7 linked regions of the Sus scrofa genome follow. The main gene of each other region encodes a partner of the protein of the gene in region 6 in a complex. Links are inferred from orthologs where the notes say so. Each region holds a gene or a part of one and is shown on either strand. Other genes may lie near its edges.

Evidence for each region.
Region 1: the proteins of CWC27 (region 6) and CWC22 are in contact, whole or in part, in a crystal structure (PDB 6YVH), measured with the Homo sapiens proteins. The link is inferred for Sus scrofa from reciprocal best matches to the Homo sapiens genes CWC27 and CWC22. Residues at the interface, in NP_005860.2 of Homo sapiens: Arg381, Glu382, Asp383, Gln384, Thr385, Leu386, Leu388, Leu389, Phe392, Lys393, Lys395, Leu396, Thr397, Ile400, Glu412, Asp415, Asp416, Glu417, Gly418, Trp419, Met420, Ser421, His422, Val423, Leu424, Gln425, Phe426; in NP_001362958.1 of Homo sapiens: Leu239, Arg242, Lys243, Tyr245, Arg246, Asn248, Asp249, Lys250, His270, Glu271, Val272, Leu275, Glu276, Thr279, Leu280, Leu281, Glu283, Arg284, Thr286, Asp288, Ser289, Val292, Val307, Ser308, Pro309, Arg310, Gly311, Thr367, Met369, Leu372.
Region 2: CWC27 (region 6) and SCNM1 share a complex: the UniProt entries of both Homo sapiens proteins name them as parts of the minor spliceosome. The link is inferred for Sus scrofa from reciprocal best matches to the Homo sapiens genes CWC27 and SCNM1.
Region 3: CWC27 (region 6) and SF3B5 share a complex: the UniProt entries of both Homo sapiens proteins name them as parts of the minor spliceosome. The link is inferred for Sus scrofa from reciprocal best matches to the Homo sapiens genes CWC27 and SF3B5.
Region 4: CWC27 (region 6) and SNIP1 share a complex: the UniProt entries of both Homo sapiens proteins name them as parts of the minor spliceosome. The link is inferred for Sus scrofa from reciprocal best matches to the Homo sapiens genes CWC27 and SNIP1.
Region 5: CWC27 (region 6) and SF3B2 share a complex: the UniProt entries of both Homo sapiens proteins name them as parts of the minor spliceosome. The link is inferred for Sus scrofa from reciprocal best matches to the Homo sapiens genes CWC27 and SF3B2.
Region 7: CWC27 (region 6) and SNRNP40 share a complex: the UniProt entries of both Homo sapiens proteins name them as parts of the minor spliceosome. The link is inferred for Sus scrofa from reciprocal best matches to the Homo sapiens genes CWC27 and SNRNP40.

The regions. Positions count from the first base shown.
Region 1 is NC_010457.5:85,546,838-85,550,337, forward strand, and holds part of CWC22 (pre-mRNA-splicing factor CWC22 homolog), read right to left. Parts: intron 2,990-3,500; coding exon 2,862-2,989; intron 1,302-2,861; coding exon 1,200-1,301; intron 1,108-1,199; coding exon 881-1,107; intron 1-880. UniProt on the Homo sapiens protein: Required for pre-mRNA splicing as component of the spliceosome. As a component of the minor spliceosome, involved in the splicing of U12-type introns in pre-mRNAs. Promotes exon-junction complex (EJC) assembly.
Region 2 is NC_010446.5:98,079,575-98,083,676, forward strand, and holds SCNM1 (sodium channel modifier 1), read right to left. Parts: upstream 2,801-4,102; 5' UTR 2,682-2,800; coding exon 2,631-2,681; intron 2,364-2,630; coding exon 2,293-2,363; intron 2,053-2,292; coding exon 1,964-2,052; intron 1,867-1,963; coding exon 1,769-1,866; intron 1,661-1,768; coding exon 1,572-1,660; intron 908-1,571; coding exon 713-907; intron 465-712; coding exon 365-464; 3' UTR 270-364; downstream 1-269. Other genes in the region: LYSMD1 (lysM and putative peptidoglycan-binding domain-containing protein 1), read left to right, coding at 3,573-3,752. UniProt on the Homo sapiens protein: As a component of the minor spliceosome, involved in the splicing of U12-type introns in pre-mRNAs. Plays a role in the regulation of primary cilia length and Hedgehog signaling.
Region 3 is NC_010443.5:21,230,043-21,232,514, reverse strand, and holds SF3B5 (splicing factor 3B subunit 5), read right to left. Parts: upstream 1,252-2,472; 5' UTR 1,108-1,251; coding exon 847-1,107; 3' UTR 827-846; intron 718-826; 3' UTR 501-717; downstream 1-500. UniProt on the Homo sapiens protein: Component of the 17S U2 SnRNP complex of the spliceosome, a large ribonucleoprotein complex that removes introns from transcribed pre-mRNAs.
Region 4 is NC_010448.4:93,599,360-93,602,169, reverse strand, and holds part of SNIP1 (smad nuclear-interacting protein 1), read left to right. Parts: intron 1-1,926; coding exon 1,927-2,522; intron 2,523-2,810. UniProt on the Homo sapiens protein: Required for pre-mRNA splicing as component of the spliceosome. As a component of the minor spliceosome, involved in the splicing of U12-type introns in pre-mRNAs. Down-regulates NF-kappa-B signaling by competing with RELA for CREBBP/EP300 binding.
Region 5 is NC_010444.4:6,283,651-6,287,150, forward strand, and holds part of SF3B2 (splicing factor 3B subunit 2), read right to left. Parts: intron 2,589-3,500; coding exon 2,439-2,588; intron 1,769-2,438; coding exon 1,679-1,768; intron 1,570-1,678; coding exon 1,462-1,569; intron 1-1,461. UniProt on the Homo sapiens protein: Component of the 17S U2 SnRNP complex of the spliceosome, a large ribonucleoprotein complex that removes introns from transcribed pre-mRNAs.
Region 6 is NC_010458.4:43,366,964-43,370,463, forward strand, and holds part of CWC27 (peptidyl-prolyl cis-trans isomerase CWC27 homolog), read left to right. Parts: intron 1-819; coding exon 820-918; intron 919-1,551; coding exon 1,552-1,655; intron 1,656-3,051; coding exon 3,052-3,121; intron 3,122-3,500. UniProt on the Homo sapiens protein: As part of the spliceosome, plays a role in pre-mRNA splicing. Probable inactive PPIase with no peptidyl-prolyl cis-trans isomerase activity. As a component of the minor spliceosome, involved in the splicing of U12-type introns in pre-mRNAs.
Region 7 is NC_010448.4:87,876,824-87,880,767, reverse strand, and holds the start of SNRNP40 (U5 small nuclear ribonucleoprotein 40 kDa protein), read left to right. Parts: upstream 1-1,144; 5' UTR 1,145-1,227; coding exon 1,228-1,371; intron 1,372-3,944. UniProt on the Homo sapiens protein: Required for pre-mRNA splicing as component of the activated spliceosome. Component of the U5 small nuclear ribonucleoprotein (snRNP) complex and the U4/U6-U5 tri-snRNP complex, building blocks of the spliceosome.

The sequences.
Region 1 (3,500 bases), on a different chromosome or scaffold from region 6:
AAACCATCTGACAGTATCTATACAACCTAAAACCCATCGATTCCATCTCTAGGTATGTTACATACCCAACAGAAAGGCATATATACATGTGGTCACCAAAAGACACGTACAAGAGTATTCATGGGAACACTAAAAATTTAATTTTCCATTGATAAATGTTAAATATACTGTGGATATTCGTATAGTGAAAAACTACGACAACAAGAATGAATGAACTATAACTAAATGCAATAGCATGGATGAATCTCACAAGCATCATGTTAGAAGATAAGCTAGACATAAAGGAGTTCATAATATATAATTCTGAAGTTAAAAGCAGGCAAAACTAATATATAATTACAAATTAGAACAGTAGCTGCCATGAGGCAGTGGATGAGAGGAATGGTAACAACTAGGAAGGGAACAAGAACTTCTGGGTCCGAGCTACATGGATGTGTTCTGTTTATGAAAATTTATACAGCTGTTCACTTGTAAGGTACGCACTGAATGTGTGGCATGTGGCAATTACTAACATAAAGCTTCACTATTAAAAGTGAAAAATTAAAATTTCTTGAAAATATAAACATCAGGAAAGCTTAATCCTTAAACTAGATGACAGAAGTTAGAAATGGCATTTCAGTCAGCATTCAAATAAATTATTTGCAGTGGACTATCTTCATTTCTATAAAGAGTATTTCAAAAGATAATCTTAGCATTATAAACACTGAATTCAGTATGGACTGCAATAGTGATAGATGAGTGTTTATATTATTAATTGTGGCTTTTAAACAAGTGAAGTCTAAAATAAATAAGCAATCAAATGATTCTCTTCCCTTGTAAACACCACCAGCAATATACTTGTGAGAAAAGGGCAGAGTTAATTATAAATGAGCTTTGATACCTGAGGACGAGCTCTGACTACTGGTGGATGAAGAATCACTCTCCTCACTAGAAGACTCTGAACTGCTGTCACTGCTGTCCGAATCAGAGGCAGAGGATTCAGAATCGGAGGAGGAGGAGGAGGATCCAGAAGAGGAAGAGGAAGGGGAGGATTTATTGGGCTCAACATCTGGTTTTTGGGCCACGATGACCTTTGGTGTATTTTTGAGATGCTCACGCAATTCATCCCTAATTAAAAACAAAATTTCTATTAGATTCTGCCTTGAAGGCAACTGTGAGAAATTCTGTAAGGTGAATAAATTTCTGAAAATAATTCTTACGTTAAACCTCCAAGACCTATAGAAGTAAAGAAGTTGATGGCAAACCGAGTGTTTCTTGGGTTATCTCGGGGTAATAATCCTTCAAAGAATGGCTGCAGAGTTCTAAAAAAGAAAAAGAAAATGAACAAAACAGATTGGTTAAAAAGGTAAAACCCTTATATTAATCCTTGCATTTTCAGATTTTCTATATATTAAATTAGTAAATGAAATACAATTAAGTGATTTAAAAATCATTTATTTGGTTGTATGCTATCTAAATGAAATGAGTAGGGTCAAGCCATAATTTACTATAATTCTATAACAGAGAGGGTTTTAAAAAACTTTCTTATTCACTCTTATACACTCAGAATATATATATATAGAACACATATAAACCTATATATATGTCTATTTATTATACATTGAGTATATGTGCAGAAAAGTGAAAAAAACCAAACCCCCCCCCAAAACCCTCTCTTCTGGTGTATATACATACCATGTACACAGAGTGCTCTGCAAGGCACTGGAGGAGGGGAGGAAGCAGTCAACAAAAGAGAAATCAAGGATGAAGACTGTATGCAATCACTACAGTTAGGGAGGGGGACAGGCAGAAAAACATTGACAATATAATGTGGTTTTCAGTGCCACACTGAATGGCCTAACCAGCAGTGTTAGGAAAAACCATTCTTCATAGTAAAGGTAATTTAATGTAAGAAGAATGATTAAGAGTTTGATGGACAGAACAAGAGAAGGAATACCCAGCTCTGTTAGGATGCATGAACGAGCCAGAACTACTTAACAAGCTGGGCAGTGTTGGTGTGGCAGAGTGCTGCTGTTAAGATTCTGCTTGAAGGCAACTTATGAGATAATTCTGTGAGGTGAGTAAACTTACAGAACTTGTGTGGAGAGGAACTATGTGAACTTGACCAAGCAGATAGGGACCAATAAATAAGTACATGAAACCAGGAGAAGGGGATGGACTGGCCCAGAGCATACAGAAGCCAGGACAGACTTTCAGCGAACAATGGAGGGGGAGGCTCAAGAGAGAGAGACTGAGGGGAGGAAGGCACAATGAAGGAAAGTGAGGAGCCACAGTGAACAAGTGGTCAACAGTGTGAGGCCAAGAAGTCAAGAGGCATGAGGCCACCTGGAACTGGCAGGTGGTCACTAAGACAAATGAGAAAGGACTTCAGGAGTGTGAATGGAACAGAAGCCAAAGTGAGTGGTGACGGGCAATCTGGATAAATGGTAAATAAGAAAGCTGATATTATTTGATAGTCCTGGAACAAAACCCTAGTTCAGTGTAAAATTTGAATAGTTTCATGAGTGATACTCATTTGTATATATTCACAGTAATTTATTGATAGTAAAAAATTAGCATTCTAAGGCTCAAAATTAGGGTAAAAATGAAACTAAAACTAAAAACACTCATTGCTGGAAAACTCCAGTGAGCATGCAAAAGTTCTAACTAAATTAAAAGAGGTATTAATTCTGAATTTTCTCTAGAACTAGACTATCATCAAGTTTCATGTCGTACCACATAATACAGGAGACTCAGAGTGGCAACGAATGGATGAAAACTATCATGAGAACTTGTATTTTTACCACTAAGGGTAGATTTCCTCTGCTAAAGTGCGGTAAAGCCTCTGAGGGCAGGAAGAATAAAAAGAATAACAAACTTACTCATCCTTTAACCTTGCATTAAGTTTAGGAAGACCCATGTATTCACACAGTTCTTGGAAAAATATTTTCACAAAAATTCTACTGGATGATGTAGTAGTTTCTTCACTCAGCTTTATACATTCAAGAACCTGAAAATTAAAATTTAAAAACATTTTTATTTTGGTGTTTAAAAGGTAAGACAAAGTGACCAATATTTATAACTTTCCTTTCTTGTGAAATTACAATTTGTTCTCATCTTCAATCAGAATTATCTCTAAATATCTTAAGATGATGTATATTATTTCTTGGAAAGAAATAAGACTGCCTCTCTATACTAATTTTCAAAATGTTAAGATGCTGTAGAAATAAAGAGTTCATTCTCTTTCTTGAGTAATGTATGTGCTTTTTATAGATGGGAGGATACTGTCTTGAACATATAGTGCTAAGATTACTAGTTCCTAAAACTCACTCATTAAAATGTGCATGTATGAGAGTCTGGGGACAAAATGCCACTGAAATCATCAAGCCATAGTTTTATAAAGACAAAGAGTGATGGCTTGTTCTGAATACTAAGATTGGGGCTGAAAACCTAAAGCTCATAGAGATATTTTAGGGTAAATAAAAAATAAAAGCAACCTCCATGTTTGATGGATTCTGTGT
Region 2 (4,102 bases), on a different chromosome or scaffold from region 6:
GACCTGTCCAGCTCCCACCCCCACCCCACCCAGTGCCTACCCAAAAACTTCATGTCATTTGAAGGAGGAAAAGACTCTGAGTGGAGGTGGGGAAGAAGTCAGACAACATGAAGGGCAAAGACCTCCTTCTGACAGACTTATTTTAGGGCACCGGGCTGCATGCAGCTGACGCTTGGCATGACTTTGGTAGAAGTGGGGGGAGGGGCTAGAAGTATGGGGAGCTGTGTACATTGCAGGGAAATATTGGCCAGGCTGAGAACGAACAGACCTGAAATCCTGAAATGAGACAAGGAACCAGACTCAAGGAAAGTCAGGCTCCCAGCGCCCACTATAGTTTATTTGTGAACTGAATGGGGAAAGAGTGTCAGTCCAAGGGGAGATCAGGGGGTTCCTCTTCATCAGAATCAAACTCAACATTCTCATCTTTTATCCATCGACCTTGTCCATCTGGGATCCATCCAGAACTGGAAATATCAGAACAAACAGAATCGATCAGGAAAGGAAATGTGTTAAGAATTTAGTAGCGGAGTTCCCTGGTAGCTCGGTAGTTTATAGATCTGCATTGTCACTGCTGTGGCACACTTCTGCATGCTGTGGGCATGGCCTCCCGCCCCCCCCAAAAGCTAGTAGGGATAAGTAATATTTGAGGTTTGAAAAAAGGAGAGCCAGAGAGAAAAGGGACAATCTGAGGAAAGTGATTCCGTACACTCACCTTCGAAGGGTGAGATAATGATCCAGAGCCCGTCTTCTTGTGGGGCTCATAGGTGCAGGGGATGAGACAGTGGCTGATTCCTTGGTTTGTGATGCAGCCGCAGGCTCAAGTTCCCTACTGATCCTCTCACTTTGGGATTCAACCTCTGGGGGTGAAAAAGCGGAACGAGAGACAGAGGGACGAGGGGCTTCTGGTCTGGGTAGAGAAGAATCAAAGTCTGTAAAAGCAGTAAAGGAAAGGACCAAATCTCCTGTAACTCCCAACCCCTTAAAGCAGTGCTTCCTAAACTGTATTCCTCAAGATATTAACAGGTGTTCTGCATAAAAAGGATTTTGGAATCAAATGAACTTAAGGAAAGCCTAAGTTAGTTTTTTCAGCTTTTTTTTTTTTAAGACTGTGTAGAACCCTGAAAATATACTGTTACTATTCTTTTTTTTGGTCTTTTTAGCGCTGCACTGTGGCATATGGAGGCTCCCAGGCTAGGGGTGAATGCAAGCTACAGCTGCCAGCCCTTACCACAGCCACAGTAACATGGGATCCGAGCTGTGTCTGCAACCTACACCACAGCTCACAGCAACACTGGATCCTTAACCCACCAAGCAAGGCCAGGGATCAAACCCTCATCTTCATGGATGCTGGTCGGGTTTGTTCACCGCTGAGCCATGATGGGAACTCGTAATATTACTATGCGTCAAACAGGATTACAAAATCCTATTTCCCAAACAAAATTCTTTTTTCCTGAAATTCAAGTTAGCATTTCCAGAACACTAGTATTCCTCAGAATCCAATTTGGAAAACAGTACTTTAGAGCGATCGATCTCCTGTTCCTCCCTACTTCTGGATTACCCACCCCACAGACCTGTTCTTTCGGCGGCAGCAACTGTTATAGTGAGGAGCTCTGTGCAGAGCACTCTGGGTAATAAGTCGAGTCTGGGTTAACAGAGGAGCCTGGCATGGAGATGGGAGACAAAGTCAGAACCTTCAGAGCTAGAAAGAATCCAGAGCCTTCAAGCCTAAGGTGTGCAGCCTGGAACACACCCTCCCCTCTCTGATTACCTCTGCTTTGGTCTCTTCTCTCCTCAATTCATTCTGTTGTCTTGGATTTGGCTCCAGGCCCTTTCCTGGGTGCTTCTTGCCATAGAAAAGCTGCAGGCCTCAGGAGAAAGGGAAAGAGAATTAAAAGGAGGGCACCCAGAGTGAATAAACCCTTTAAGGGTTTATTCTCTATGCTCTGTCTTCCCACAAACTTACTGGACAGATGTTTCTTGCCTGCACGGTGGGCAGTCAACATGGCCAGGGTGTCCAGTACCGGTCGGTGAGGACAGATGGCACAAGCAAAGCTAGAGAGGAGGAGAGAAGATAATTGGTTCCTGGGGAGTGGAGTCTCTGCCATAGGTTCCACCACAGCCTAGAACTCCTTTCCAAAGCCCAAATCCCAAGTCTCCCAGTCTCCACCACCAACATCCCTGTTACTCACTCCCCGCCAAAGATTCCTTGTTCTTTCCAATCTGCTTAATAACAAAAGTTTGTTGAGCCTCTAACCGCAGAACCCCCAGGCTTGATCCACTCCTAGTCCTCACCGTCCATCCCGTAGCATCAACGCCTCATCCTCTGGGATGTAACTCGCCAGCAGGTCCCCGACTCTCCGTTTCTGCAGGGAACAAGGGAAGAAATGAGGACGGGGTCAGCTGGATATGAGGGAGGAACAAAAAGGAAATGACAAGGACGAGGACTCAAAGGGAATAAAGGCCACAAGAAGGGTAGAGATCTGGGCTGAAGAAGGGGTGTCGGCCCAGTTCCAATCGTCTGGCTTCCTCCGCCCCCCTCCCCCGAGTTGTTGCCACAGCAACAAAACAGCTCCCTCACAGCCTTCAGACGGCAACTGAAGCTGCTCCAGATGCTCTCCTCTCGCGCTTACTTTGAGCACATTGAGTTGACTCCAATCGTCCCCTTCCCTCTTGAAAGACATCACGACTGTGAGAGCCCCAGAAATATAAGTTTTATCGCGCCGCGTTCGCCACTCCTTTCAGGCCACCGTAGCAAGAGTGGGACGTCTCCTTTCTTTCCTGTCTCTTTCCGGTTGGCCCCCTTACTTCCGGGATGCGCTTCCACGCATGCGCCGCGCGATCCCGAAAACCCGCCTCTAGCCCATAGAGGGGACTGCATTTCCTATGGTGCTCTGCGACCCCGCCGGCGCGGAGCCTTTTGGGAAATGAAGTCTTTTTTCAAAGAGCTTGCCGCCCTGCCCGATTCAGGCCCTTGCATCTTGGCAGATTAGAGGCGTTTGGAGAAAGAGGAACCTAGCTGTGGATCCCGAGTTTGAGAGTGTGACTGATTTGATGCGGAGCGTACCTTTGAGGATCTCTCAGGGGAAAGTGTGCTACAGATTCTCGCGGTCATCACGCCCTTCGCCTGAGGCCACAGCCCACCTGGAGTGGGCCTGATTAGTTCCCGACCCTAGCGACCAAGCCCGGGACGCGCGGAATCGGGGTTGGGGGCTGGGAGGTCTGGCGGACCGACCTGGGGGCAAACTCTGTAGTGTAGAGGAGGGTGTCTAGTGGTCAAAGGTCAGAGGTCAATGTCGCGAGTTGTGGGGGATCGAAAGTCGGAGGGGTACTAAGGAGAAACTCAGGTAGGGACTGAACAGTCAGGTTACAGGTTTGTGGGAAAAGGCCTTGGAAGGCGGGGAAGCCAGGAGTCAGAGGTCGCCTAGTGGGGGGAAGGCGGAGAGACTTAGGAGAGAACACAGAAAGGGAAAGGAATCCTCCAGATTTTCATTCCCAGACCCCGGGCCTGTCACTATCGGTCACTTGGCCGGGCCTCCCGCAGTTGCAACTCCAGTTGTCCGCAGGGTGAGGAGATGGCCTCTCCCTCTAGACAGGCCCCCCTCGGGGGGTCAGGACTGCTTCAAGGGAGCCGGGCTCGTTCTTATGGAAGCCTTGTGCAGTCTGCCTGCTCCCCGGTGAGGGAAAGACGCCTGGAGCATCAGTTGGCGCCCGGAGACACCCTGGCTGGACTAGCACTCAAATACGGGGTGACGGTGAGTCTTCCAGGATTGGGACGCAGACACTCAGAAAAGATTTATTCCTCATGAGGATATAGTGGCCCTCTGGGCAACTTCACCTGAAATTTTCCTAATTGTGTCTAAATTAGTTAATTGTGATAAATTAATTGACAAGGGTCCCATCTCGTGTTGCACTGTCTGGTTGAGACAAATCCTGTCTCAATATCCCGGTGGAGGTGAGCAGCTCTTATTTATTATACCAGTCACTATACTAAAGACTTTACATCCATTAGCGCATCTGATCGTCACATCCCTATCAAGCATACAATTATTATACCCTTTTTATAGGTGAAGAAACTGAGACTTAGATTGGTTAACCAATTTGA
Region 3 (2,472 bases), on a different chromosome or scaffold from region 6:
TCCACAGCACCCTCCAACATGTGCTTGCTTATGTCTGCAAATTTTGTGGTCTTCTGCTCCCCCAACCAGTGTAATATAGGTCCTTAAAGCCTGCCACATAAAATTCAACACGTATTTGCTGAATGAATTTAAGAACTAATTTGACAGTTTGTCAATACTCAAGATATGTCCACGTATTTCCAAAAGAAAGAGGTGTAATCTACAGAGAGAAGGCAAAGCGAGTCAAGATTTTTTTTTTTTGTATGAAAGAAAAAGGACACAGTGATCACAAACCTCAATAGTGAATGTGTTAAGGGCCTGAGAAAAGTTCCTGGGAGAAGTCAGGGTTGGAGAATATTATAAAGAGCGTATTTAAGTGTCTGGCAACGAACTTTGGCCCTGTGCTACTGTTGAACCCCTCCCCAACCCTTCCCTTCTTTATACCCCCCGCCACCCGGCAAACCACAGTCCCAGAGCCCTCCTTGGCCCCTCCACCAGAACACAAGTAGTCCACACCAAGAGACCGAAACATTTCTAAACTTTATAGAAAAAGCAACGAAGACAGTCAACTAGCCAAAAACGAGCCTCTTAATCCCATCTCACTCCAGCCATATCTCCTCTAACGTCTGCAGACTTTAGGATCTCTCCACTGTTCAGTTTCTCAGGGGTTATGACGGGTCTCCCAACACTTTGTTCCACAGGAAGGCAGGTCGGACGGAACGCCCCGGGTAAGGACCTCTGTACAAAGAAAGCACGAAAAGCAGAGCTATGAAGAATCCGTCCACTTGGGAGAGGAACCCGCGGGAATGACGACAAACCGGAGGAACGCAGAGAGGTGCTCACGTACAGCGGTGAGACGGTGAGGTCTCAGTTCTCCTCCGGTTTGTCGGCGGGCGGGCCGCAAGGCTGCAGCATCTTCTCCATCAAGTTGAAGCGGACTCGCGCTTTGCTCTCATTCTCGGCAATGGCGAAGTAGTTGAGAAGGTCGAAGTGGCCCATGTAGGAGCAATAGGAGTCGCGGTGCTGGTTCACCAGCCACTCCCATTTGGTGGTGTCGGCGTGGCCGGTGCCGATGTATTTGGACTGCAGATGCTCTAACTGGCTGTGGATGGTGTAGCGGTCTGTCATCTCGTTGCTTTTTCCTTTGCTCGCAGGTCAGAAGCCGCAGACGAGAAGAAGCCGCTCTAAGGTTTCAAGCCGGAGAGGAGCCACCCGCCGGAACCTCTGTACACGCGCGGCCGCAGGTGGATGGCGTCACAGCGACAAAGCAGCGCGACTCGCGGTCCCCGGCCTCCCAGGCGGAAGTGTATTCTGTCACGGAATTGGAGTTGCCTCGGCAACGCTACCAGTGGGCCTTCCCTATAGAGAGCCCCGCCTCCTTCGCAGAGCGTTGCATGCTGGTCCATCTAGCGGCCCTTTTCTAACAGGAGCTTTGCATGCTGGGACTTGTGGTTTCCGAGGGTTGGTTCGCAGAGACTTCTTGGGACCTCTGTGTGTGGGTTTGAGAGACTGAATGGACTGCGGTGTTTGGGAGGCAGGAAGCATCCTCGGGCGGATGGGGGGCCGAGAGGAAGTGGGAAACAAGTAGTACAAGGCTGTAAGCAACTGGGGAAAGGAGCTCTTTGTGCAATTCCGCTTTCGGAGCTACAGAGGGTACAGTAGCCGTTTCACAACCAGGGGTGGATCACCCTGAAGTCAGGAAACTCAAGGTCTGACCCCAGCCATGTCTCTTACAAGTTGTGTGGAAACTTCTTTCATCGCTTGCGGGGCCGCCGTTTCCCGCCTAGTGACCTAAGTACAGCACCAGTTCCGACACATTCAGGCCCCCACAACAGGCTCCTCCTTTTGAGCTTCTAATTTTGACATCCTCCCAACAAGTTTCACCCCACCTACAGGCCCTCAGCCTCTACTTCTCAAACGTTCCCGTGCTGCTCTCTCCAGTTCTCTGTACGAGCTGTTCCATCTGCGTGGAATGCTTTTGTTCCCCTGGCAAACACTTCTCCCTTTTAAGTCAGCTCGAAAGTATCTCCCTGAAATTGACTTTGGCTACTCCAGACAGATGTAAATTCTTTTCATCCTGTACATCTCTTTGTTATTATCACTTTATATCCAGTTTTTGGTTTAAGAACTTCCCCACACGAATACAAACTACTTGAGAAAAACTACTTTTTTGATGATGTCTTTTTTTTTTTTTGAGGGTGAGACATCTATCTACTTGATCTATTTGTAGCATGAAATCCACAAAGAAAACCCCAAAATGCGAAGTTCAATAAATTCAAATAGTAATATTTTTAAAAATATTAATGAAAAAGAGATGATGTCTTGTATCATATGCTTCTGTTATGCTAGCCACAGAGCCTCGCAGAGATTGTTTCTCAAAAAACATCTGATGAATGGATTAAAAAAACCTGTATGACGGCCAAATAAATTCTTTACTGGGAGAAAGATAACTTTAAAGTATCTTTATTCTGGTATAAAGTTACGGTTAGATAG
Region 4 (2,810 bases), on a different chromosome or scaffold from region 6:
GAATCCGACTAGGAACCATGAGGTTGTGGGTTCGATCCCTGGCCTTGCTCAGTGGGTTAAAGATCTGGCATTGCCATGAGCTGTGGTGTAGGTTGCAGACGCGGTTTGGATCCCGAATTGCTGTGGCCCTGGCGTAGGCTGGTGGCTACAGCTCCAATTCGACCCCTAGCCTGGGAACCTCCATATGCCGCAAGAGCAGCCCAAGAAATGGCAAAAAGACAAAAAAAAAAAAAGAGTTCCTGCACCACAGCAGTGACAGTATCAGATCCTTTAACCACTAGGCCACCAGGGAACTCCCATTTTTCGAGATTTTAAAAAAGATACCTACACAGTTGCCCCTTGAACAATGTGAGTTTGAATTGCACTGGTCCAGTTACATGCGGATTTTTTTCAACAGCAGATACTACAGTACTCCATTTCCCCTTTAGGCTGACTCTGGATGTGGATGTGGACTCTCAAATACAGAGGAACCACATACACAGAGGGCCGACTACAACCGCTCAAAGGGTCAGTGCCCCTAAACCCCCACGTTGTCCAAGGGCCAACTGTAGTACAAGTTTCTTCTTACACATCTTGCATATTCCTAACGTTTATTCCTAGGTATGGAATAATTTTTGTTATAATAATAACTATCTTTTAAATAAGATCTTTTATTTTTTTTAAATTTTTTTTACTTTTTTGTCTTTTGTCCTTTTAGGGCCACACCCACGGCATATGGAGGGTCCCAAGCTAGGAGTCTAATTGGGGATAAAGCTGCCAGCCTATACCACGGCCACAGCAACTCCAGGTTTAGTCTCATCTGTGACCTACACCACAGCTCACGGCCATGCCGGATCCTTAACCTGCTGAGCAAGGCCAGGAATCGAAGCCGCCACCTCGTGGTTCCTAGTTTGATTCATTTCTGCTGCACCACAATGGGAACTCCCAAATAAGATCTTTTAAAATAACTATTGTGGGAGTTCCCATCGTGGTGCAGAGGAAACGAATCCAACTAGGAACCATGAGATTGTGGGTTCAATTCCTGGCCTCACTCAGGGAGTTAAGGATCCGACCTTGCTGTGAGCTGTGGTGTAGGTCACAGACGCGGCTCAGATCTGGCGTTTCTGTGGCCCCGGTGTAGGCCGGCAGCTGTAGCTCCGATTAGACCCCTGGCCTGGGAACCTCCACGTGCCTGAGTATAGCCCTAAAAAGAAAAATAAACAAACAAGTGAACAAATAAATAAATAAAATTACTATTGTGTTTTTATTTTTGCATAAGAGAAAGCTAGCTTTCTTCCTTTCCTTTTTTTTTTTTTTTTTTGGCTTTTTAGGGCCACACCCACGGCATATGGAAATTCCCAGTCTAGGGATCTAATTGGAGCTGCAGCTGCTGGCCTACACCACAACCACAGCAATGGCAGATCCGAGTCACTTGTGACCTACACCTCAGCACACGGAAACGCCATATCCCTGACCTACTGAGCAAGGCCAGGGATCGAACCCGCATCCTCATGGATACTAATTGGATTGTTTCCACTGCACCACAACAGGAATTCCACGTAATTATTTTGTATGTGACTACTTAACTCACTCCGTTAGTTCTATTTTTTATATATACTTCCCTATAAGTTTGCCTATAGGTGTTCTTGTTTTTGAAGCTCTGAACACGGGCTCACACTGTTAGAACTATAGTTGGGCAGCAGCCTAGGGGCCTAGGGCACCTATTCAATGTGGTGGCCTTGCAAGTGACCACCACTGATAACCTTATTTGTGTGGGACATTTTGCTCTGAATGCCAAAGTCCAAATCACAGATGACTTTTTTAAATAAAAATTTTATTGGAGTATAGTTGACTTACAGTGTCGTGTTACACAAATGATTTTTCAAATGCAGCTTTGTTCATAGACTGTGGACTGCCTTTCATTTCCTGAATCTCTTTGGATATCAGGAACGTGAGGATCATCCCCGGAGAGGCCGGGAGGATCGGCCGCACCGAGAACCCTCAGGACAGGAGCACAAGCGCGCTAGGAACAGTGACCGAGACAGACACCGCAGCCATTCCCACCAAAGGAGAGGCTCGAACGAGCGGCCTGGTGGTGGGCAGCCCCAGGGGCGGGATCGAGACATTCAAAACCTGCAGGCACAGGAAGCAGAGCGGGAGTTCTATAACGCCCGGCGCCGGGAGCACCGCCAGAAGAATGAAGCCAGTGCTGGTAACACATCTCAGGACTCACTTGCAAGGCCTGGCGGCAACAACAAAGACAAAGAGGTGCCTGCTAAAGAAAAGCCAAGTTTTGAACTTTCTGGGGCGCTTCTGGAGGACACCAACACCTTCCGGGGTGTAGTCATTAAATATAGTGAGCCCCCAGAAGCACGTATCCCCAAAAAGCGGTGGCGCCTCTACCCCTTTAAAAACGATGAGGTGCTTCCTGTGATGTACATCCACCGGCAGAGCGCTTACCTCCTGGGCCGACATCGCCGCATCGCAGACATTCCCATCGATCATCCCTCTTGTTCAAAGCAGCACGCCGTCTTTCAGTACCGGTGAGTGTCCATCTGCAGAGAGAAATGGAAGTGCCATCAGAAGCCAAATGTCTTGGTTAGGATTATTGGGGTGGGGGTGGGGGTGGGTGTGTGTACACATACACGTGCAGAAGCCTATGCCCCTCGTGTCTAATACTAGTCTCAGTTTCTACCTACTTGCAAGGCTGTTACGAGGATTAAGTGGAAGTAAAACTAAGGATGCCTGGCATGTGTTAGCTGAATCTGTATCTTGACAGGTTCCGTAGCACATCTTTTATTGTTGGATGTTCACAACAATCCTGTGGGGAG
Region 5 (3,500 bases), on a different chromosome or scaffold from region 6:
AAGCCTGCTAGTAACTTCAGCCTTCAGGGTGGAGTTCATGCTGCCTAAAACTGAAACATGTACTTTGCAAGACACGACTCCAACTTCTTACTGATGTTCCTAATGTTGGCAAGCTTTCAGAATCTAGTTCTCTAAAGTGACAGAATTTTTTTTTTAAGGGCTTGTGCCATGTGGAAGTTCCCAGGCTAGGGATCGAATCTGAGCTGCAGCTGCCGGCCTATGCCACAGCCACAGCAACGCCAGATCCGAGCCATGTCTGTGACCTACACCGTAGCTGGTGGCAACACCAGATCCTTAACCCACTTGAGTGAAGCCAGGGATCAAACCCAGGTCTTCATGGCTATTGGTCGGGTTCATTACCATTGAGCCACAACAGGAACTCAAAGTAACAGAAATTTTTATCTGAAATTTAACAATCACTTCTTTCCCATTTTAATGACTGTTGTCTGTGAAATTTTTTATTGCTTTTTATTTAAAAACAAACTTAGCAGTTCCTGCTGTGGTGCAATGGGGTAAGAATCTGGCTGCAACTGCTCAGGTCACTATAGAGGCTAGGGTTTGATTCCCACCCTGGCACAGCGGGTTAAAAGATCCAGTTTTTCTTTCTTTTTTTTTTCTTTTTGCTATTTCTTTGGGCCACTCCCGCGGCACATGGAGGTTCCCAGGCTAGGGGTCGAATCGGAGCTGTAGCTGCCAGCCTACACCAGAGCCACAGCAATGCGGGATCCAAGCCGCGTCTTTGACCTACACCACAGCTCACGGCAACGCCAGATCCCCAACCCACTGAGCAAGGGCAGGGACTGAACCCGCAACCTCATGGTTCCTAGTCGGATTTGTTAACCACTGAGCCATGACGGGAACTCCAGATCCAGTTTTTCTGCAGCTGTGGAGTAGGGCACAGCTGCGGCTCAGATTCAATCTCTGGCCCCAGAACTTCCATATGCCATGGGTGCAGCCATAAAAAAAGAAAAAAAGGTAAAAAATAAAAATAATTTGCAACAAAATAGATTACTATTTTTAATGAAAAAAAGAAAGAAAACAGCATGAAGTTCATTCTCTAAAGGTTTTTTAAGTTTTGACTATTTCTCCAATGGTATTACCTCAATATAGAGATTTCTGAAGAAAAGAAATTAAAAAAAATAAGTTTAATGCCACTCTTAAAATTCTATCTGTCCATCCATGTACACATCAGAGAGAGATATCTGGAAATACATTCACCAGATATTAAACCTGGTTATTTCTGAGTGGTGAAATGTGAGCAATATGTGTTTTCATCTTTGTTCTCAATTCTGACTGACCATTTTATGACACACGTCTCGTGGTTTTCTTAAAACAAAAACCATACTCCTTTAATTTGAAAAAAAGCCAAAAGACACACAGTAGAAGAAAAGAAAAAAAATCCTCCTCTAGTTAAAGAGCCAGCTCCTCCCTTAGAAGAAGGACAGAAAGGAAAGCTCTCACCTCGGGGATGGGCGAGTTCAGCCCCGGGATCTTCAGGTTGGGGTACGACGGGGGCGGCCCGTAGCGCTGCATGGCGATCAGCCACGGGGGAGGGACCTTGTGTGCGTTCTGCAGGACGAGAGAGGACGGGCTCCCACCTGCCCGACCCGAGCCCTTGGCTCCCCCGCCCCATGCCCAACCTCTTCTCTGTTTGCCCAGCCAGGTAACTGGCACTCACTGGTCCTACTGGCATCCCCAAGGAAATCCGCAGCTCATCAGACAAATCGCCTGGCTTCTTCTCCTTCAGCCGTGTCTCAAACTCCTTCCCCTGAGGAAAAAGCAGAGCATGCCGTGCTGTGGGCTCCAGACACACACTGGGAGGTTACCTGCCAGGGGGCGGGAGAACAAAGAGGTCCCAAACCACAGCAGACAGAGTCCCTCGGAGGACTACCTAGTTCCCAGGGTTCTCGTCACCTCTGCCCCCGGCCGCGCCGGGGGTGGGGAATGATGATAAAAGCCAGGAAGTGGAGGGGGCAGGCACTCCCGCTGTGAGCGCACAGCCACTTCTAAGGACAGGCTTTCTCATCTCCCGGGTGGGGGCTTGGAGAAGACCGTCTCCAAGGGCCTTCGGCCTCAAAAATCCCACGACACCGCGCTGACTAACATCTCAAGGGCCAGAACAAAAAAACCAAAACAAGACAATTTTCTCCTGCCCCCAAGAGGGAATGTTTCCTAAAGCATCTGCCCTCGGCCCCTGTTTCTAAACTACCCACATACACGACTGCTGCCTCGAAGATGCGATCCGCATCCCTCCTCCAGAAAAGCACCCCTCGCTGCAAATGCCACCCCATCCAAGGGCAGCTAGTGGACAACCCAGAGCCTGAGGCGAGAGGGCCACCGGCCCCACCTCCAGCTTCCAAAGCCCCTGGGACCCGGCGTTCCGGGGTGGTGACCCAAGGCAGAGCCCTGCCCCCGCCCTCCCCGCCCCCGCTGCCGACCTCGTAGTACAGGTCCCCGTGGATGGTCAGCTTGGGCTTGGTCTGCCACTTGAAGAAGGCGTCGTGCAGCTTCTGGTAGTCGATGTCGATCTTGCCCATCTTGGGCCGGACCTTCTCTCGCATCTTGGACTTCATGGTCTTCTGCTCCTCCTGCGGGGATGGCACGGGGTACGGGAAAGGCCCTCAAAGTCCAACTCTGGCCAGATCTGGCCTCCCGCTCCCAAAAGAGATGGGGGAAACCTCATCCGTCTTAACTCCCAAGTCACCCAAATGCTTCCTGCTCAGTCCAGCCCCTCAAAGTTACACGACCCGTGCAGAACAAAATAGATGCATCATAAGAAATCACAATCAGCTACGTACATCAAATAATTTTTAAGCCATGGGATCAAGGGACTGACTCCTCAGCTCCCTCTGCAGAGACCTGGGTGACTAGGGCCTGACAAGGCACAGTTCTCACCACCTACTTCGGCACTTGCTGCATTTGTACACCACCCACAACTATCACCTATTCAGAGTATTTAATTAAAAACTTTAAACTTGGAGTTCCCATTGTGGCACAATGGTTAACGAATCCAACTAGGAACCATGAGGTTGTGGGTTCCATCCCTGCCCTTGCTCAGTGGGTTAAGGATCCTCCAGTGTTGCCATGAGCTGTAGGTTGCAGACGCGGCTCAGATCCCGCACTGCTGTGGCTCTGGCGTAGGCCAGGGGCTACAGCTCCAGTTAGACCCCTAGCCTGGGAACCTCCATATGCCACGGGAGTGGCCCTAGAAAAGGCAAAAAGACAAAAAAAAAAAAAACTTAAACTTAAGAAATTACTCAACCAGCATACAATTCCAGCCACAAGTGTATCCAGTTCATATAATAAGCAGAGAACCAGACACAGCGAGAAGCAACGTGCAAGGAAAGGAATCACCACGTGCCTCTAGATCAGAGAGCCGGGAAGGGCAGGCATGGACGCGAGGAGCCCGGGGCGAAAAGAGAGCCACACAGAACCGGAAGTGGGGAGCACCGGCCTCAACAGAGGTGAGGTCTGCCTTTCACGTGATGCCCTGCCCCTCC
Region 6 (3,500 bases):
GCTGGATTTTATGATGGAAAAGGGAAAAAAACAAACTTAGCACAACTGGAAAAACTGATATTATTTTAGAACTTTTGAGAAATGTTAAAGGAGTCATGCCACAAACATTTAATACAATCCTGTTGCATAATACTTAACAACATGAATAAAGAAATATATACTAGCACGTGTAAGTGACTCCAACACAGGTTGTCTGATGTTCACAGATTTTCCTTTTATTTAAAAAAATAAATATATAATAAAATGAGATTAGATTGCATTCTGCACCATTGTTTACAGCTGATGTTACATAATTCACACATTAGAGACAAAGTATAGCATGGTGGTTAGAAGTCAGAAAGGCCGTCACTGTAAACTCTATAACTTCTTTGAACCTCAAGTTTCTTAGCTGGAGAAGGAAGATAATGATAGTACCTACTTTTAGAATGTTCATGAGGGTTAAATGAGATATAATTTCTGCAAAGCATTTACCACATTGTTATTGTTACTTGCTTCTACCCTATTTTAGAGTCTAAATTTGTTTATATAATGTTTGAACAAAAAGTAGTCATTCGCAAGAAGGTTATTTGGCATTATATTTTTAATAAAAGCTAACATTAAGTAAATGTTGGAAATTGCCCAAAAATCTTATTGAGGGATTAAAATTCATCAATGCCCTTTTCCCCTTAAGATAATGTTGTTTTATTTATAGTTTAATGCATATATTCTCATATAACAATATGATTTCAATTAGTTAAAAAGTATTTTCAAAGGTCCTCCCTAATTTCAAAGAATGAATTTAACAATTTGCAATTAAATCTTTTTTTTTTTACTTGATAGGTTACAGGGGATACAGTGTATAACATGCTACGACTAACAGAAGTAGACATTGATGATGAAGAAAGACCACGTAATCCACACAAAATTAAAAGTTGTGAGGTAGGAGCATGACTGTTATGAGACACATCACCTAGATTATCACTTAAGAGAAGTTGATTATATTCTTAAATTATCAGATTAAAGCCTTATAATAAATTAATATCACAACTCAGATTTTACCTCTGTAATTTAGGTATAATTCTTGATTAAGAATTTTTTTTAATTGAAGGTTTTGAATACAACGATGAAACTAGCTGATAATTCAATGAATGAAAAACTCAACTCACAATGGAAAGCTGGATGAATTAGGCTTATTTAGCGCAATAAAGTGATTTTGTAGGTAATTTAAGAGTGATCCTCCATTGAGGAAGCAAGTACCTTAGAGTGTTTGATTTGGAGTCAGAATACCTGAGTTTGTCTCTCTTACTATGGATTATGTTTTCTTGAATTTTTTTCCCTTTTGTAAATAGGGCTAAAACATATTTACTTAATAGCTCATTGGATTACTAAGACAGTCCAATGAGCCAAGTAAGTGGAAGCACTTTATGTAGTATGTATATCACTATACTTGTAATGGTTACGTGAGGAAAAATTATAGGCACTACTAATGGCAACATAGTTAAATATTGGCTTTAATGTTTTGTGAAATTTTTAAAAATTGAGTAATGTTTTTTAAAATATTTCTTTCCATAGGTTTTGTTTAATCCTTTTGATGACATCATTCCAAGAGAAATAAAAAAGCCAAGAAAAGAGAAACCAGAAGAAGAAGTAAAGAAATTGAAACCCAAAGGCACAAAGTAATCAGAGTAGAAAGATTTTTCCTCAGCTTGAAAAGCAACACTGATTTATTTAGTTTACTTTATTTCCTTTTGTAACAATTATTTACTTCTGAGAGGGGAGGCCAGCTTGTACTGGAGAATACTATCTACATTGTGTATGTATGTGTGTGGTTTTTTTTTTTAAATGTACCTTTCTTATATTCGGATACAAAATATAAATTTTAAAACTTAAGCCAACTTGGAGTTCCCGTCCTGGCTCAGTGGTTAGCGAACCTGACTAGTATCCATGAGGATGTGGGTTCGATCCCTGGCCTTGCTCAGTGGGTTAAGGATCCAGCATTGCTGTGAGCTGTGGTGTAGGTCACAGACGTGTCTGGGATCCTGTATTGCTGTAGCTGTGGCCTGGGCCAGCAGCTACAGCTCTGATTGGACCCCTAGCCTGGGAACCTCCATATGCTGTGGGTGTGGCCCCAAAAAGACAAATAAAACAAAACAAAAATTAACATTGTGGGATATCAAGGAAAGATTTAGTTAAGTTGCTATTTTAAACTGTCAAATATGAATCAGACCCTTTAATAAGCAGTTGATTATCTTGTGGCAAAATAACTTCTCATACAGCTATGTATTTGAAAAGTCACTGTCACTGTATTCAGATATAATATTTCATCACTGTGATCTATTTTGATAAGAAGCCCAAAAGTTGGATGTTTCTGTTTTTGTTTTTAATTCATTGCAGATACATTAGGGATGATGTGGTAGTCATTGATTACATCTCAGTTTTGAAATAAAAATTCCTCTTGTGTTGCAAAATCTTTTATTTTTCCAATATTTGAGAGGAGAGTTTTAGTAACTTGTTATTTAGCTTTGTTGTGATGTTTTTAGTTTGAAGAAGCAAAAAAGACAAACTTAATTTTCTCTTCCCATGGGCTATTTTTTAGCTAAGTTTATTGCTTTTTTTATTTAACAATTGTAACAATAATTTTAAAACATTAAGATGTGTTTTGGCAGACACTAAATAAACTGTTTCCCATTTGTAGTGCTTTCAAGCTATGTATTTATTTTTTAGAAATCCTCATTTTGCTAACCAGTTTTGATAAATATAAAAAGATTTAATTATTTCTATCATGCCTGACTTAGTATATTTAATGATGGTACTCAGGATGAATTTTTGGTTATTAGTTTAGTCTAATATATGGAACATCTGTGGTCTGGGGCCAAACACTTAATATTATGCTGAAAACATAGATCTTTAGTATATTTCCCATAAATACTAAGTCATATTGTCTATTGATAGAGTGTTTCTTCTCATAAATTCTCTTCTATTGCTTTGAAAATGGGATATTTATAAATTTTATTTAACTTTGTCTTCCTATTCTTTTTTTCCTTATTTATTTATTTATTTATTTTTGATTAGAAATTTTAGTTTACTTTCATTTGGAGAGGAAGCCGAGGAAGAAGAGGAGGAAGTAAATCGAGTTAGTCAGGTAAAACTCTTAATTTGCCCTGTGTTCTGAATTATGAAAGAGTTGAGGATCTGTATCTCACTCATTTTTGTATTTCCTGCTATACATAGCACAGCATATGTTCCATGGTACACATTCACTAAGTGTTCATTGAAATGATTCATAAAGTAATTTGTGGTCAGTAATACTTGCAACTTTTAATATGATTTGAGATAGTTTTTTTTTTTAATTTGAATTTTTAAAATCAGAACCAGAATTAAAGAATGACTTCATATTTATGATTCAGATTTTAATTGCTATTGGTTTAATTGGTTTGCTAGATGATTTGGGTATTATCATTACTGTAATAAACAATAACAGACCAGAGCTCTTATATTCATTTTACTATCATTTATATATA
Region 7 (3,944 bases), on a different chromosome or scaffold from region 6:
ACACAGTCTGGCTTCCACTTGCCTCCAGCTTCATCTTGTACCACACTCCCCTTTATTCTCTTTGTCCTGGCAACACTGGCCTCTTTGTACCTTTTAGTCATTTTCCTCTCATTTGCCATTGGGCCTCTGCACATGCTGTTCTATATGGAATATTCTGCCCTCCTCTCTTCCCCCAACTAATTAGAATTCTTCCTTCAGGCATAGGTTCAGGCATCTTTTTGTTAGACAAGTCTTCCGGCTTATTTCTGGCACTCAAAACACCAGGTACCTTTCCCTGGCAGCACTTACTTTGCATTCCCTATAAAGATCATTGTTGAGCATCTGTTTTTCCCATCGGACTCAAAGCCCTGAGGTCAGGGACCATGTTTGGTTCACAATGTCTCCTCAAAGCTTTGCACCATAAATATCAGTTGAACGATTAAGGAGAAAACCTACTTCACAAGTATGAGTCTGAATTTCTCAGCCAAGACTGTGCTCTGGAGACCAAGAGTCGGACATTTCCTTCATCTCTCTCTCTCTCTCCCTCTCTCTCTCTCAGGGGCACAGAGCAGGCGCTGGTAAAAGGCTGCAGTATCACGGCAGAAAGAAGTCGGCCTCCAAAGTCTGAGACGACCCTGGTGGAGGCTGGGAAACTGACCTTTTCTCCCAAGGAGCACCTGGCACAGGGCTCGACACAGAAGGCGCTTGTTAAAGAAAGCAGCCGTCGAGGGCCCCAGGCAGGCGCAGAGACCCCACTGCTCTGCTCCAACCTAGAAAGGGAACCCAGGCCACCATACACCAAGAGCTAGGAACTCAGGGGCCCCCTCTGCCCTCTGCGATCAACCCTGGGCTGAGAGAGGCCAGCTTCAGACCACACAACGGAGGCGCCGCCTCCAGATTCCGCAGCCACCCACCCCCAACACTTACTCGGAGTTAGCGTCAGGTCTCCCCGCCGCAGCATTGCGCGAAACGCCAGAACCCAGTCAGCGCGCTTCCACCCACAAGACCCAGCGCGCCGAGGCGGGACTCCAGCTCGTTCCACCAATCCTGGAATCGTACTCTAGTGACATCAGAATGAGTTGCCCAATAACTGGAGACTCCCCAGGGGGCGGTGCAGAGGGGAGTATTGGAAGCCGATTGGTTTCTCCAAGCCGGAAGTTCTAAGGGAAAGACTAAGTCGGAGCCAATCGTGCGCTCCCTGAGGGTGTCGGCGCGGTCAGTGGCGGCCTGAGGAGAGCGGTTGCCGCCATGATAGAACAGCAGAAGCGCAAGGGCCCAGAGTTGCCTCTGGTCCCAGTCAAGCGGCAGCGGCATGAATTGCTTTTGGGAGCGGCGGGGTCGGGCCCGGGAGCCGGGCAGCAGCAGGCGGCGCCGGGAGCTTTGCTGCAAGCGGTGAGTAAACGAGCAGATGGCCTTCGGCCCTCAGCTCATCTTCCTGTCTCCTCAGTGCTCCACCGTGAGATCCCGTACCGGCCCTTTCCCTGCACTGCGGGGGCGGAACGGGACTCACACCAGGGAGTTAGAGCAGAAAAACCTGTTAAAGCGGTCAACACCCTGCGATGCTACGTTTCCCCGTTTGACGTTTCAGCGTCTCGATGGCCCTGTGAGGGGGCGTTAGAATTAGTGAGGGATCTTAAAACTGGGCCCCGGGCTTTCGCATCCTAAATCTTCCAGGGATCCAGCATAGAATAAACGTTCAGGAAAGTTGAAAGAGTGGATGGATGAATGAAGGAAGAAAGAAAGGAAGGAAATGAACGATACTAGCTCGCTTTGGGACTTGGGGCAACTTGCTTTGGGGAAAACTCTTTCTCTGCACTAGTATTAACAACTGAAGAATAGGTAACACTTATTGAGCCATGTACTAAGTGTTTTGTATATGAAAACTCCATTAATCTTGGTCACTGCCTAAGAGGTAGGAATTGTTAATTGTCCCATTTTGTAGATGGGGAAACAAACTTCTCTAATAAGTGATAGAAACCGATTTTAAAATCAGAATCCAGGCTTTTAACTAGAGTTCTTATAAGATAGAGGTAGTGATGGATGACATCTCTCCTTCTGCTCTATTAGGCTTAGCTGAAGAATATATGTCCCCTCCTGAAACTCCTCAATCAGGCTGTCAGCAAATCTTTGCTGGCACCATCCTTAAAATAAACCCAGATTTGTTACCACTTCTAAATATCTCCATCACTACCTCCTGATCTAAGCTGTTATTCTCTCACCTAGTATTCCTGCTGTAGGATCCTGATGGCATTCCTGTTTCTTTTCTCAGATGCTCATTCTATTCTCAGTCCAGCAGCCGGAGGAATCCTTCTAAACATCAAATCATGTTAACCTCTGCTGAAAACATGCCATGGCTTTTCGCTTCACTCAGAGTAAAACTAAAATCCTAACAACCTTTTGCCCTCTTTCCCTTGACCTCTCTGATCTACCAATTTTCCATTGCTCACCTTACTCCAGTCACATTGGCTTCTATGCTCCTACCACACACAAAGCCTTTGCATTTTCTTTTCCCACTACTGGAGTGTTCTTTTTCCAAATGTCCACCTGGTTTACACACTCAGCTCCTCCAAGTCTCTGCTCAAATATCGCTTTTTCCATGAAGGTTTTCCTGACCAACCTGTTTTAAATTGCATACCTGGGTACTCACTAACACATTGCTGTTTGGTTTTCTCCATGGTACGTACCACCACCATCTATACCTTATACTTGTTTCTGCCATCCCTCCCTCCTTTCTGTCCCTCCCTCCTGCTAGAATACAACCTACATTGTTTATTTTGTTCAACACTGTTTTCTCAATGTCTAGAACAGTGCCTGACACATAGTATTTTTTGAGTAAATGAATAAGCTGGAAACTACTGATGAGATTTAGGAATTATTAATAGTGTATTTGTTCTTTTGGTTTTTTTTCTTTAGGACAGCACCCATGGCATATGGAAGTTCCCAGGCTAGGGGTCAAACCAGAGCTACAGCTGTTGGCCTACGCCACAGCCACAGCAACTCAGGATCTGAGCTGTGTCTGCGACCTACACCACAGCTCACGGCAACGCCGGATCCTTAACCCACTGAGCTAGGCCACAGATTGAACCCATATCCTCATGGTTCCTAGTCAGGCTTGTTAACCACTGAGCCATGAAGAGAATGCCAGTGTATTTGTTCTTCCATCTGACAAGTAAGAATATCAGCTCAAGTTTCTGTGAATTGCCCAAGCCTAGGCTTAGTGGCTAAAACCGTAAACAAGACTACTTTCCTTAGTAACCTTGTACCCTGCAAGGTTGTTGGGAAGCTCAATTCAATCATTCATTCATTAAATGAACTAGAAACTGGGAAGACTGTTGAATGACTCTATAGGGTTCCTGTGGTCACAGAGCTTTTCTAGTGGCACAGTAGGGGAGACACTGTAAACAAGTAATGAGGAAGGTAATTTCAGGTAGTTAGAGAAGTGCTGTGAGAGGTGTTGCCGTTGTGGTGCAGCAGAAACGAATTCGACTAGGAATCATGAGGTTGCGGGTTTGATCCCTGGCCTCACTCAGTGGGTTAAGGATCTGGCGTTGCTGTGGTTCTGGCATAGGCCGGCAGCTGTAGCTCCCATTAGACCTCTAGCCTGGGAACCTCCGTATGCTATGGGTGCAGCCCTAAAAAGCAAAAAAAGAAAAATGAAGTGCTGTGAGAGAATCCCTAAGGTTGATAGCATGTAGAAGGGAGGTGGAAGAGTGCTGCTTGAGTTTGAGTGTTCCAGGAAGGACTTTCTGAAGCAGAAATGTTTGAGAGGAGTCACACACAGGAAGATCTAGGGGAAGGGGTTTCTGTCTTGTTCCTGCGGGTTCAGCTACAAGTATAAGAGATCCTGAGGCAGAAATGAGTTTAACATGTTTGAGCAATCAAAAGTAGGAGCGCAGTGAGGGAGGAGGAGAGTTAGCATAACAAACAGACCCTGGAAACTTCAGAAGAAGAGAATCTAATTAGAG